3 linked regions of the Drosophila melanogaster genome follow. The gene in region 2 interacts genetically with the main gene of each other region. Each region holds a gene or a part of one and is shown on either strand. Other genes may lie near its edges. The genes, in order: erm, pnt and fred.

Region 1 (3,754 bases), on a different chromosome or scaffold from region 2:
GTGCCGTTCATTTAGCTTCCAGTTAATCACGCTGTTTTGCCCGCTTTTTGTCAAGGATAATCACCGGATTGTTTTTGCTTCGTCGAACGTATGCTTACTAAAATATTGGAATTATTCACACAATATTGAAGCTTGTTAAATTAGGCAGTAGAAGACACCTATAATAGTATTACGAATTTCCATGAATTTTCATGTTAAAGTAGATTTACCCGTCGGCATCTCAAAGGAATCAAACAAATAGTTTACAAATATTGTACAATAGTTTTTATGGTTGCCACATTCAACCCATCCAATCAACATTACTCCAATGAGGAAACCTAATCAACAAAGAGCTGATATTTGCATATCGATTTCCCCACACAAGAGCCGCACAACAAGCCAGATTAACGGAAAATGCAGTCGAAATGGCGGCCATAGTCCTTGAAGGATCCACTAAAACCCCCACGCTCCCCGTCGGACTCGCCGAAGAGTTGTGCTTTTGTGTGGCCTTGCAGCTGCAATTGCTGAACTGCTCAACTCCAGCAAAAGCAGCCATGTGCCCTGCATTGCCCAAGAAAAGGTCCTGGACCGTGGTCCTGCAAACGGATGGAGTTGGTGGAGCAGGACGACAAGCACTGCCAGAGCAAACAAAGTCAAGAAAGCCGCGCTGGAGATGCCATCAAAATGAATATGGGATTATATTTAACTAGTGCTGGCTGGCGATGCAGGGGGCTTCAAATCAAACAAATGAGAAAGGTGCACCTAGAGAACAGGGAAGCTAAAGAATAATATAAAGTTATCTAACCAATTTTATACAATTTACAATCTTTAAAAATTGGCGATTGATGCTTATCCTGCGACTAACATTCCTACATAGAATAGGGATTACTGATTGGATTACGGGTGAATTATTTTCTCTGTATATAGCAAAAAAAGATGAAGAATTGGAGAGAATCAAAGAATCCTTGCCCGCTGGCGGGCTAAAGGTGAGCAAACAAAGACGCTGATAAAACGAAATGCCAAAACGACAATTGAAACGCCCAACAAAAGGCATGAGCTTTCCAGGAGGGGGATGCGCTGGGAACGGGGAACGGGGAAAGGGGTGGGCCAGTGAAAAAGTCAACTCGAGAGGCATCCACGAGGCCGGTGGCTGCCATTTCTTGGTGTCTGGTGTCGCCCCATCCAAATCAAGTGTGAACGGAATACGGCCAAAGGTGGCCCATCCATCCATCCATCCATCCATCTCTCCGTCCGTCCATCGGTCTCTTTCCAGCAGCCGAGTGCTACGCATAGTGCGCTCCCTCTTTTGCGGAACCTCCTCCATCTCGTCACTCCTCTATGTATCATCTTCCTGGGCTCTTGAGCTCTATCTCTATATAAATATTTTAGGGGCGGTCTCTGCTCACTGCCTCTCTCTTTCGCCGTAATATTCCAATTCGACATTTTGTCTTTTCATTCATAATGCAGTCGCAGTCGACGGCGACGTCGGCGTCAGGACATATCCTCCAATCTGAACGTGATGATTAAGTTCTCCTTTTGCCCGTCGCTCCCATCAATCCATCTCGCTCTGTCGCTCGACCAGGACGTCTGCATCCATCTCTCTCTCTCCCTCGGCATGCATTTCATCTCTCACTCTCGCCAACGGCGGCAGCACGCAGGACTCTCGGGGGTTGTTTCGCCAGGATTCACCCCAGCACTCGCCGTGTGTCCTTTTCATATTTCTTAAGGCCCGCACCGTTCGCTGTTTGCCTTCATTCCGCTTCGGTCGCTGATCCTGTGCTGAACGCGTCCTGTTCCTCGCGTCCCTCGATTTGCATTTAAAAAGCGTATATCCTTATCGACGAAACAAGTGAACTTTAAATAGTAAAGTAAAAGGACCAAGTTCAATTTGTGTGTGCCAACTGTTGTGTTTTGCCTCTAACAAGTGGAGATCGGCCGCCTGCCAAGGGAACTGGATATCCACATAGGCAGTGCCTGAATATGGTTTACTTTGTACGTATTCGATACATAAAAACTTAATTTATTACTCTGTAATTGCAAAACTCCGACGGGAAAAGGAAAAAACTATAAAGTACAAGTTCGCTTTTTCATATTAGAAGCATTTCGAAGCTATTTGCGTGACGTTCGTAAGAAAAGCAGGCATTTACATAGGTCTATGTCCTCTTTAGATAGTATTTCGTCTTGTATCTTTACCATCATTCTTAACACTTATGATTTTGATTAACCCCATCAAAAGCCAGCTTCATCTCATAACTTCTAACATGTGCTAGGGCATAGCCACTTGTTCAACTCAAGACAAAGTTTCCAAGTGCCTGTGTGCTCCGTTGATTGAATATTATTCCACGCACTTGGTTAATAAGCTCGATGTGGTTCGCACTCCCCAAGTGGCGTTCGTAGAGGCAAATTTTGAAGTGGCCACTAGAACACCAACATAATTCGGCTGCTTAAAAGTGGAACTACTCGTTCGTAGTAGTAGTAGTTTGGCACCCGGGAAACTTTGGGATCGAGGGCTGACCGCCGCTGCCTCCGGGTCAGCGTGTGAAATGGTTGCCGCCTCTCGTTTAATGAGATTAAAGCGCACTTTGGAAGGGAAACTGCAAGATGGGCGAACTGCGGACCCAGATGGGAGCTGGGCCTGCTGAGGCGTCAAATCAAGTTAATTAAAAGCGGCAAGGAAGTCGGTAATCGCACCGGATGTCGCACATTAGCCACACTCGAGGGCACATGGGGAAGATGGAGCCGGCGAGGCGGCGAGGCGGCCTTACACCTCCAGTCGAGTGTAAGCGATTTAATGAATCTCACATAAAGCCAAGACCCGCGCCAAAAAATTCGCATACTGCTTACTGGGCCTGTGTTATGATTGATGGCAATATGCTGGCGAAAGGATTGAGGTCTTTGTTTGGGTTAAGTGGAGTGTAAGCCAGGGCAAAGCACGGGTTAAATGCAAATAGCGTGGTATGCAAAATCGATCGGGTAATATTATGGAACGCACTGCGGTTTGCGTTTAATTGCAACCCGCTGGCTGGCCCTGAATTATCCTGCGGAAATGTCCTGCCGCTGGGAGCACGCCCTCCGCTGGCGTTTGTTTGTGCTCCCGAATTGCCAACGCATTAGTTGCACTTGACTGATCAGGCGGTAAATAGTCCGTACAGCTGCGGTCAAAACAATAGGGACCACTTGAAATCCGAGCAACTTGGGAATAGGTGTTGTTATTATATTCATAATTATAAACCGAAATATATGCTTTACATATATGCTTTTGAAGGCAAGAAGTTTTTAGAAAGGTATGGGAACCAGAAATGTTATTTATCCTAGTTATTTCCCCCCAACTGTGGCCACAAACAATGGAGGCGTATGCCTTCGATTAATTGATAACCCGTTGCTTAGTTTGCATACTCAATTTGGCTCTTTGTTCGTTTCTTACAGAGTCCGCGTGGCATGCAACCGTGTAGTCCAGCGGGAGAAATCGCAATGATGCCGCCTTCGAAGAGCCCCGTGATGGAGAGCGCCGCCTCCGAACAGAATCCTGCCCAGCAGAGCCAGCAGCAGGACGAGCAGAGCGCCAAGCGGGCGTGTCCCCTAAAGTTTTCGATAGCCAAGATCATGGAGCCGGATCACAGGCCCAGCCAAGTGCCACCGCCGCAGCCCGCTCCGGTTTCCTTCGCCACCAACGATGACGACGAGGATGAGGATCCGGAGATCGATGCCGACTCGGAGCGCTCCTGCAGCCCCATCGAGGTGATCAGCCTGGATCAGTCGCCATCCACTGTCAACT
Region 2 (3,754 bases):
CCTTTGCTGGAGTCGGACATTTCCGTGCTGTTTAGCAGAAATAAAATAAATAAATGTAAATAACTTGTTGCCGCCAAAAATCTGCAAACGTCTCAGAAATGTGCTAACGCGTTGCAGAGAATGCTGACATTTAGCTGTTGCACAGCACTGTAAAGTAACACGTTTGGCGCCAATTTCAAAATGTTACTACAAATAAAAGAAAACAAGAAAATTATTAAATGGTTTTAAGAATATAAGTTTTACCTAGAAATCCTCAATTATTCTTAGCTTTGTAGTTCCACCTAACACAAATTAAAAAAATAATGCTTAAAATCTGATGAAATCATAAAATATAATATTTATGTTTATTTCATCACAGCTTGACCATTTTAGCTATAATTTTCCTGTAATGGGCATTAAATGCCCTATTTGCTGACAATTTAAGGACAGCTGCTGGCCAATTGAGTTGGCCTGTTGGCCATGTGTTTTCCAACTGCTGAAATGTGAAGTTTTTTCTACTAGTTCTCCGCTGCAATGGCATCATGCAGTCACGCACACAGGCGCATTCATTCATAAAAATCCGGCTCACCTACACGAGTTGTAAGATTCCAGCGCAGTGGAGAGAGGGAGAGAGAGTGGGAGAGCGGCGCGCATGCGCTCTTTGAGTTCTTTTTTTTCGCTTGCTGCACTTGTCGCCCCCTTTTATGTTTTTCAGTTTTACCTCTGCGGCAGCAATTAAGTTGCAGCAGAGGTTGACAATCAGCCATATTTTTATTGCACGTGTTTCGTTATGCAAGGCTGGTTAAGTTTTTTTTTTTTATGTGTACATATACGCTCCCTTGGCCGGGAAAATCGGGAACGCCATCAAGTTTTGTTATCCCGAATCTTATTGCCCTTTTTCTGGGTGCAGCTGGCCATTTGACTGCCGCCCCTGCACTTGCATTCACTTATGCTGTGTAATTTGTAATTTATGCGAAATGCGTTGCCGGAATATAAAAACATTGCAGTCGTTTCAGTTCCATATCGCCGCTCTCTGTCGCACACACTCTCCGCACACATAAACCTGTTTGTGTTTTTGATTTGCGCGAAAGAGAGAGAGAGAGAGAGCCTTTCGAACGCACAGTGGTTGTCATGGTCACGGTGGGAAAATATCGCGCTTAACTTTTTTTGGGGTGTCCAAAAGTATTTTCCCAAGCTGCAGCTTTCCCACATTGTGTGCAAACTTTAATAATGATAATAATAAGTTGATAATTTAATCTCACATCAAAATTTTCATATAGGTATTATTTCATATTAAATAAATATTTTATTAATTATTATAACAAAGAAACTAGTATAATTTTCCTTTTAAATAAGCTGGAACTGATATTTTGACCAATTTACTTTATTTGTCAAAAATATAGATTTGTATAAAATCCAGAATCAAAATAAATAAATTTTTATATCAGTGTACACAATTGAAAGACTGAGACTGCCAAATTTTAAAATATTTGTCTTTATTATTCCGCCCCCTTTGCATACTAAATATTTTAAATATACTAGTGATTTTGGGCACTGTTTAAATGCTTGCCAAAAACGATCGCCCGCACACACACACACACACACATACACGCACCCACACACTCTCTCGCATATTCGCACTTACACTGAGTTCTGAGCAAGCAGATTTTTTTTATAAATTGTTGCTATTTTTTTGTCGCTGCAAACACTTTGTTTTTGCTGCTCGAAATATGTAATTCTGATTTCCATTTTTTTCTTGCGCTCATGATGCACGCTCTAGTGCGAGTGCGAAAGAGATAGCGAGATTGAGGATCACCCACGCCTTTTCGTTTTCATTCCAGCGATCAAGTAAAATAGCGAATAATGTTTATAAGTCAGATTGATATAACTCTCGATTTTCATATTATTTGCCATTTTTGTTATCACTTGCCAGAGCAACACAAAAAAATATTAATCTTAGCAGCGGAGAGAAAGAGAGAGAGAAACGGAGAGAGAAGGTGCGTCGGCGTTGGCGTCAACGCTGCGTCTGCGCCAACGTCGGCGTCGCTGCCGCCTGTTGCCAGTCGGTCAGTCTGTTTTTGTCTTTCTTTCGGGAAGCGTGCACTTGCGCTACGGTAAATTCGATTTGAATGAATTATACGAATCAAATAACAAATAAATAACAAATGCAAAACACTTTGCAAGCCAAGCAAAAACCCAGTGTGTAAGTGAATGAGTGCAATAGCAAAACATCTAAAGATCTGCGCGCGCAATATACATCAAAAAAAGGAAGGCAAACAGCAACAGAAAAAAAAACGCGGTTCAGAAACACAGGAAACCAATTTCTATATACGAAATTCATCATAAAACCACAAAAATCTCCTCAAACATCGCGTGAGAGTGCCTGAGTGTGAGTGTGCGCGCGCGTGTGTGTGTTTGCCAGCGATCCGTCGGCCTTTTTTCGGTTTGTTTCTTTTCGCGTCTTATAAGCCGAGCTAAACCGATCCCCGATTTCTTCTCGAGTTGTTCCTTTCGGTTTTTCGTTTGTCTTTGTGCCCGGCACGTAATCCCTCTCTCTCTCCCCCTAATCAACCTGCTGATCCCACCGGAGGGTTAAAACATACACATCTATACAGCGTGATAGAGAGAGAGAACGAGCAAGAGATAGTCATCGGTGCTGCGGAGTCCATCAAGATTGTGCGCCTAATTTGAAGCTGTAATTAATTTGGATACCCTAATAAAAAGCCAACCGAAAGACGGTCTTTAGAATCCAGAACCCACAAACCAAAAATCAAGAGCCCAGTAGCCCCCGCCTTCTTGTTCACGAAGGGGCGCTATTTTATTACCCCGCACCGGTAAGAAAAGTGAAGTGTTGAAAAACAGTAGTTCAAGTATTAGTTTTTGTTATTTTCCCTACACTCGAAACAAAAATCCAGCGAAAATTAAAAGACAAAACAATTGAAAACAAATAATAAACCATATATCTCTTAATTGCTGTTGATATATAGTTTTGAAATATAACTTTTAAATCATATTTATCTTAAAAATATGAAATTTAGAGAGTTTCTTTTGAGTGCATGTAAACCCTTTTTGTGTTGGTGTTGCCTGTTTTCTTGAATGAATCTAGGAGAAAACTGGTTTGGCTACCGCTCGGTAGATCCGCCGATCTCGCGATCTCGCCTCGATTCAGGATTGCTGCCTCTATAAACTCGTTGTTGGCCAGGCCAACAGAATTTGAATTGGTTTTCTACTCGGCATCATAGCCAAGCTAGTTAGCCGCCAGTGTGCGTGAGTGTGTGTGTGTGGGGCACTTCCACAACCCTTGTGGGAAACACGCTCGAAATTACTACTGTTCCTTTTACAGCTTCCGGTGCGGCAAATGAGCTTCGCCTGCCCCACGATCGCGTTTCGGGCCATCAATCCAAGGGGTTTGGTAATCGAGAATGTGTGAACGGTTTTTGGTTAGGGTCAAGAATCTAGCACAGCGATCGCATTAGACAATTAAGTATCAATAAAACTGATACCGGAGTGCTACTCTTTTGACCTTTCGGTTTTAAAGTATGTATAATTGGGGCTTTCCTGTTCTGCACTTTGGGTTACCTGAAAGGGTTTTTAAAAGGATCTTACAATTTGGGATGTAAATTAAAGTAATTATTAATACAAAAAAGATCAAAGGATAGTTAAAGGCTTAACCGATATCATATTTTATAAAAATGTTACCATTAAAATGATTAATTTTACAATAAGATTTTGCTTAGATCAATTGTTATTATTTCTATGATAAAACTTGATTTAC
Region 3 (3,754 bases), on a different chromosome or scaffold from region 2:
TTATGACAACTCAATTTCGGCACACACTTTAGTTTGGCATCCTCAACCATGACTGCCCCGAATTCCTCCACCCCCTGATTTTCCAGCCCCTCCTCTAAAGTTTTCAAGCCCTCCGCCCCAAAACGAAATTGTACCATCTAACCTGATCTACAAGCAAAGTTGAGGAGTTTTCGTGGGCAACACACAAAACGCATAAATTTATGTCAAACATTTGTGAGGCGTCTCCACTTCCGACCTCTCACTTACTCCCACTACATCTTTCTCTTTCGCTGAAAGAGAAAATTTATTTATTCGGACTTTTTAACAACTTTTGTACATATCTGTGTGTATTTGAGTGCCAAGGTGTTGGCTCAACCTTTGTGGCGGTCTCTTTTTTTTTTTTTTACTTTTTTTCTCCCCAAACTTGCCACATTTAGTTTGCAAATATTTTTTATGTGCCACGACATGTTCAAAACAGGGAGTAAGGGCTGCAAAACAACTGCCTAAGGGCCCAAAATGTTTATCCTGCGAAGCGTGGGCCATAAACTACTCAGAAACATAGCTGTTGTAAAATGGGGGACACTTTTGTTGATTGCTCAAAATATTCAAAAGGACCCTTCAAATATGTAAGTTTTCGTAAAATAAAAAGATTTCAGGAACATATAATTCATGTGAAAATATTAAAAAACGAAATGCAGAGCATTCCGTACTTTCTGTCTGCACTAGTCAGGACCAACTGTTGATTGCCTTGATTAATAAAAACGAATGCACTTGCAAGTGCAACAAATCAACATGTTGCCAAAAGAGAAAGTTTCGGCAAGAGAATGTGAGAGAAAACCGCACGGAAAAGAGAGATGGGAACGAGTGAAATAGGAAACAGTTTCTCTCCGGAAAAGTTAGCCAGGATTGGGGCAAAAAACTTGTCTAAAACCGAGTCCCAACGATTATGGTCCAAACAAAATTTCGTGGACTATGCTTCGTGTGTGTTTATGGCCATAAACAACTGACCCCAAAACATAAATAAACCAAAGAGCAGGAAAAGGACCACAAAAGCAAATAAAACTAATAAATGTAGCAGTTTGATAAAATTAAACAACTTGTATGTATTTATTTGTAGAAATAAATTCATCTGTAAACCATTAATGATGATTTGAATCGAATAATGAAAATATCTACAAATTAACATGTTCTTAAATCTTGTAAACTTTGAGCTATCAAACAAGAAGATATTAATATGAATGAAAAGTATGTGATGTTTAAAGTGAAATAAATATGGAATAGTTGGCATTGTATAAAGACAACTAGGCATGATTAACTATTTCATAAAACTTAGAGTTATGTTTAACAAAATTTCCGTTGATCTATGGATGAATTACAGGCCTAGGACAATTTGCGGTTCGTTGTTTTGAGTCCTTTCACTAGAGTTCCTAACCTACCACAAAAGTCCTTAGCCGCTCTCTTTTTTTTTCAAAAGAGAACTTTCTCTCCCTTGGCAACATGTTGCCAAGCCTTTCTCTCAGCGCAGCCGCCTCGAATAATATTCAACAACCGAAATTGGCGACTTCGTCTATGGATTTCGTACACTCGTACGCGACATCCGAAGTTCACTGTACTCGTGTTTTGCAGCTCGTCATATCGAACTTCGTTCTTAAGCTGGAACAAAACCGAAATTGCACTTAGTTGGTAAGAAGCATTCTGCGGCCACGGGCGGCAAAGCGGAAAAGTCGGGAAGAACTGGAAAGGCCGAGTGGAAAAGTCTCCTAAAAACAGGACCCCAAGTATATGTAGAAACCGAAGAAACGCGAGTGCGGAAAAGCGTTGCAGTGGAAATTGCGGACAGGCGGAAACCGCGTTTCGCTTACATGTGCGTTTGTAATTATGCAAATTGCCGGGCAACTCTTTCGACAAATGGCACTCAAGTGCAACTGTTGCCCCGCTTTTCCCCGTGACCTTGCACCCACCTCCTGCCCCCACCGCCCGCTGCTCGGCCCACAGCCATGCATATTTATGCCGCCAAAAAGCCAGAAACTGGGCCAAAACTAGTGCAACAGAAATAGAAAACGGGAAAAAAGAAATGAAATGAAATAAAATAAAATACGAGCAAAGCGCCAAAAGGGGCCAGCAAACAGTGACAAACAATTTCTGCTCAATTTAAAGCCGCTGCGAAAGTTGTGCTCCACTTACCTTCGCTCATCTGTCAAATCCGTATAATTTCCTCTTATTTTTTTTGTGCGTCCTTTCCGTTTGTGTGTGTCAGCAACTTGTTGTCCTTGGTCCTTGCTCTTTGGTCCTAGAAAACAAGTCCGAGCCAGACTCACTCCCAGGCTGGGCAAATAAAATGCAAATAAATTATTTTTATTATTCCACTGTGACAGCTGATTTGGGAGCTTTCTTTAGGATTTCTCTTGCTTTTTTGCCCATTGTTATGACGGCTGGTTATTTTGATGGCGTTGAAAATGGTTTAGCTTAAAGTTACTGGCAGTGCATAAGCGAATTAGGAGCCATGTTTAGTTCGCTGAGTTGTGAGTTGCCGAGAGTTTCTTAAATAAAATGTCGATTTGAATGCACTGGAGTCAAATAGTAAAAGATATATATTTTCATTAGTATTCGATTCTGAGGCACAGTGCATTTAAATACAGCAAAGACAATCGAGATAACTGTTACCTAAAGCGTTTTGTGATAATACAAGTATTTATTGCTTAAAACACATAAATTTCCTGAAGAAAAACTAAATAAACGAGGAAAGCTTGCCAAAATATGCAAGTGACCTGATAAGAAGTTTTAAAATATTCAAAAATTTAGATTTTGTGAAAACACCTAAGTGATTAAATTGTAAGTTAGTGACTAAAAAACCTGCTATAAACTCAAGCAGTGTAAATGCATAAAATTAAAGGTGTTTTATTTTAAGTACGGATTATCTTTCCAAAGCTCTGGCTCAAAATAAAAATAAGCAGTCACCATTAATAACTCATAATTACTTAGTGATTAGTGTCGAGTAACGCAGGAGATTTCCATTAACAATTGGGCAGTAAAACGCTACGGTTTTGTGTCCCCTCGGCTCCGGTTTAAATAAATAGCCCGGCAATTGCCGAGGCTTGGTCAAAAGGAGGCCCATCAACCATTCCGGCGGAATCAACTCACCTGGGGCTGGGATGTGGATGCGGATATGGAGGGTGTGGGATTTTCGTTAGGATGAAACCTAATAAGTTTGGAGCACGCAAGCGATGGGCCATTTTCAAGCTATTTGACTGACATGCTGTCCGCTCATAAGTCGCTTTTTGCTGGGTATTGTAAACATGAATAAGACATTAGCAGCACAGTTTACATGTGCGGCGGGGGCAAAGCCAACTGAGTGGGCACAATTCCATTTGGGGTATCCATCTCTAGTCGGTGCTCTTGCAAATTATTATTATTTGGGAAATATGTTCATTTAATGCCTGGGCATGGCTTCAATTGGACCTTTCGGCCTCGGCCCGGTTTTGCAAGCCCAAATTGAAATGTCTGAGCCTTTAAATATTCATTGCCTACTTCTAGGCGCCTTCCATATGCATTTAACATGAGCACGAGTGTGTGTGTGTCGCATTTAATTTAATTGAAACATTTAATTACAGTGTCCAGCCGTAGTATCGGCATCTCGAGTGCGTGAATATTTGAACGAGCATTTCAGCATCGCATTGCAAAATCAATTCTCGAGTGAGCCTTTAAAAACACGCAAATTGAAACCGAAATAGAGAGAAAAAAACGCACAACCGCAGAAACAAAAACCGAAATGTGT

What was found.
Region 1: of pnt (region 2) and erm, changing one suppresses a phenotype caused by changing the other (phenotypic suppression), as found in Drosophila melanogaster (one study listed by BioGRID).
Region 3: of pnt (region 2) and fred, changing one suppresses a phenotype caused by changing the other (phenotypic suppression), as found in Drosophila melanogaster (2 studies listed by BioGRID).

What each region holds. Positions count from the first base shown.
Region 1 is NT_033779.5:1,952,531-1,956,284, reverse strand, and holds the start of erm (earmuff), read left to right. Parts: upstream 1-1,731; 5' UTR 1,732-1,959; coding exon 1,960-1,971; intron 1,972-3,405; coding exon 3,406-3,754.
Region 2 is NT_033777.3:23,344,457-23,348,210, reverse strand, and holds the start of pnt (pointed), read left to right. Parts: upstream 1-2,043; 5' UTR 2,044-2,813; intron 2,814-3,754. Other genes in the region: PolE1 (DNA polymerase epsilon subunit 1), read right to left, coding at 1-20.
Region 3 is NT_033779.5:3,989,637-3,993,390, reverse strand, and holds the start of fred (friend of echinoid), read left to right. Parts: upstream 1-1,677; 5' UTR 1,678-1,843; intron 1,844-3,590; 5' UTR 3,591-3,754.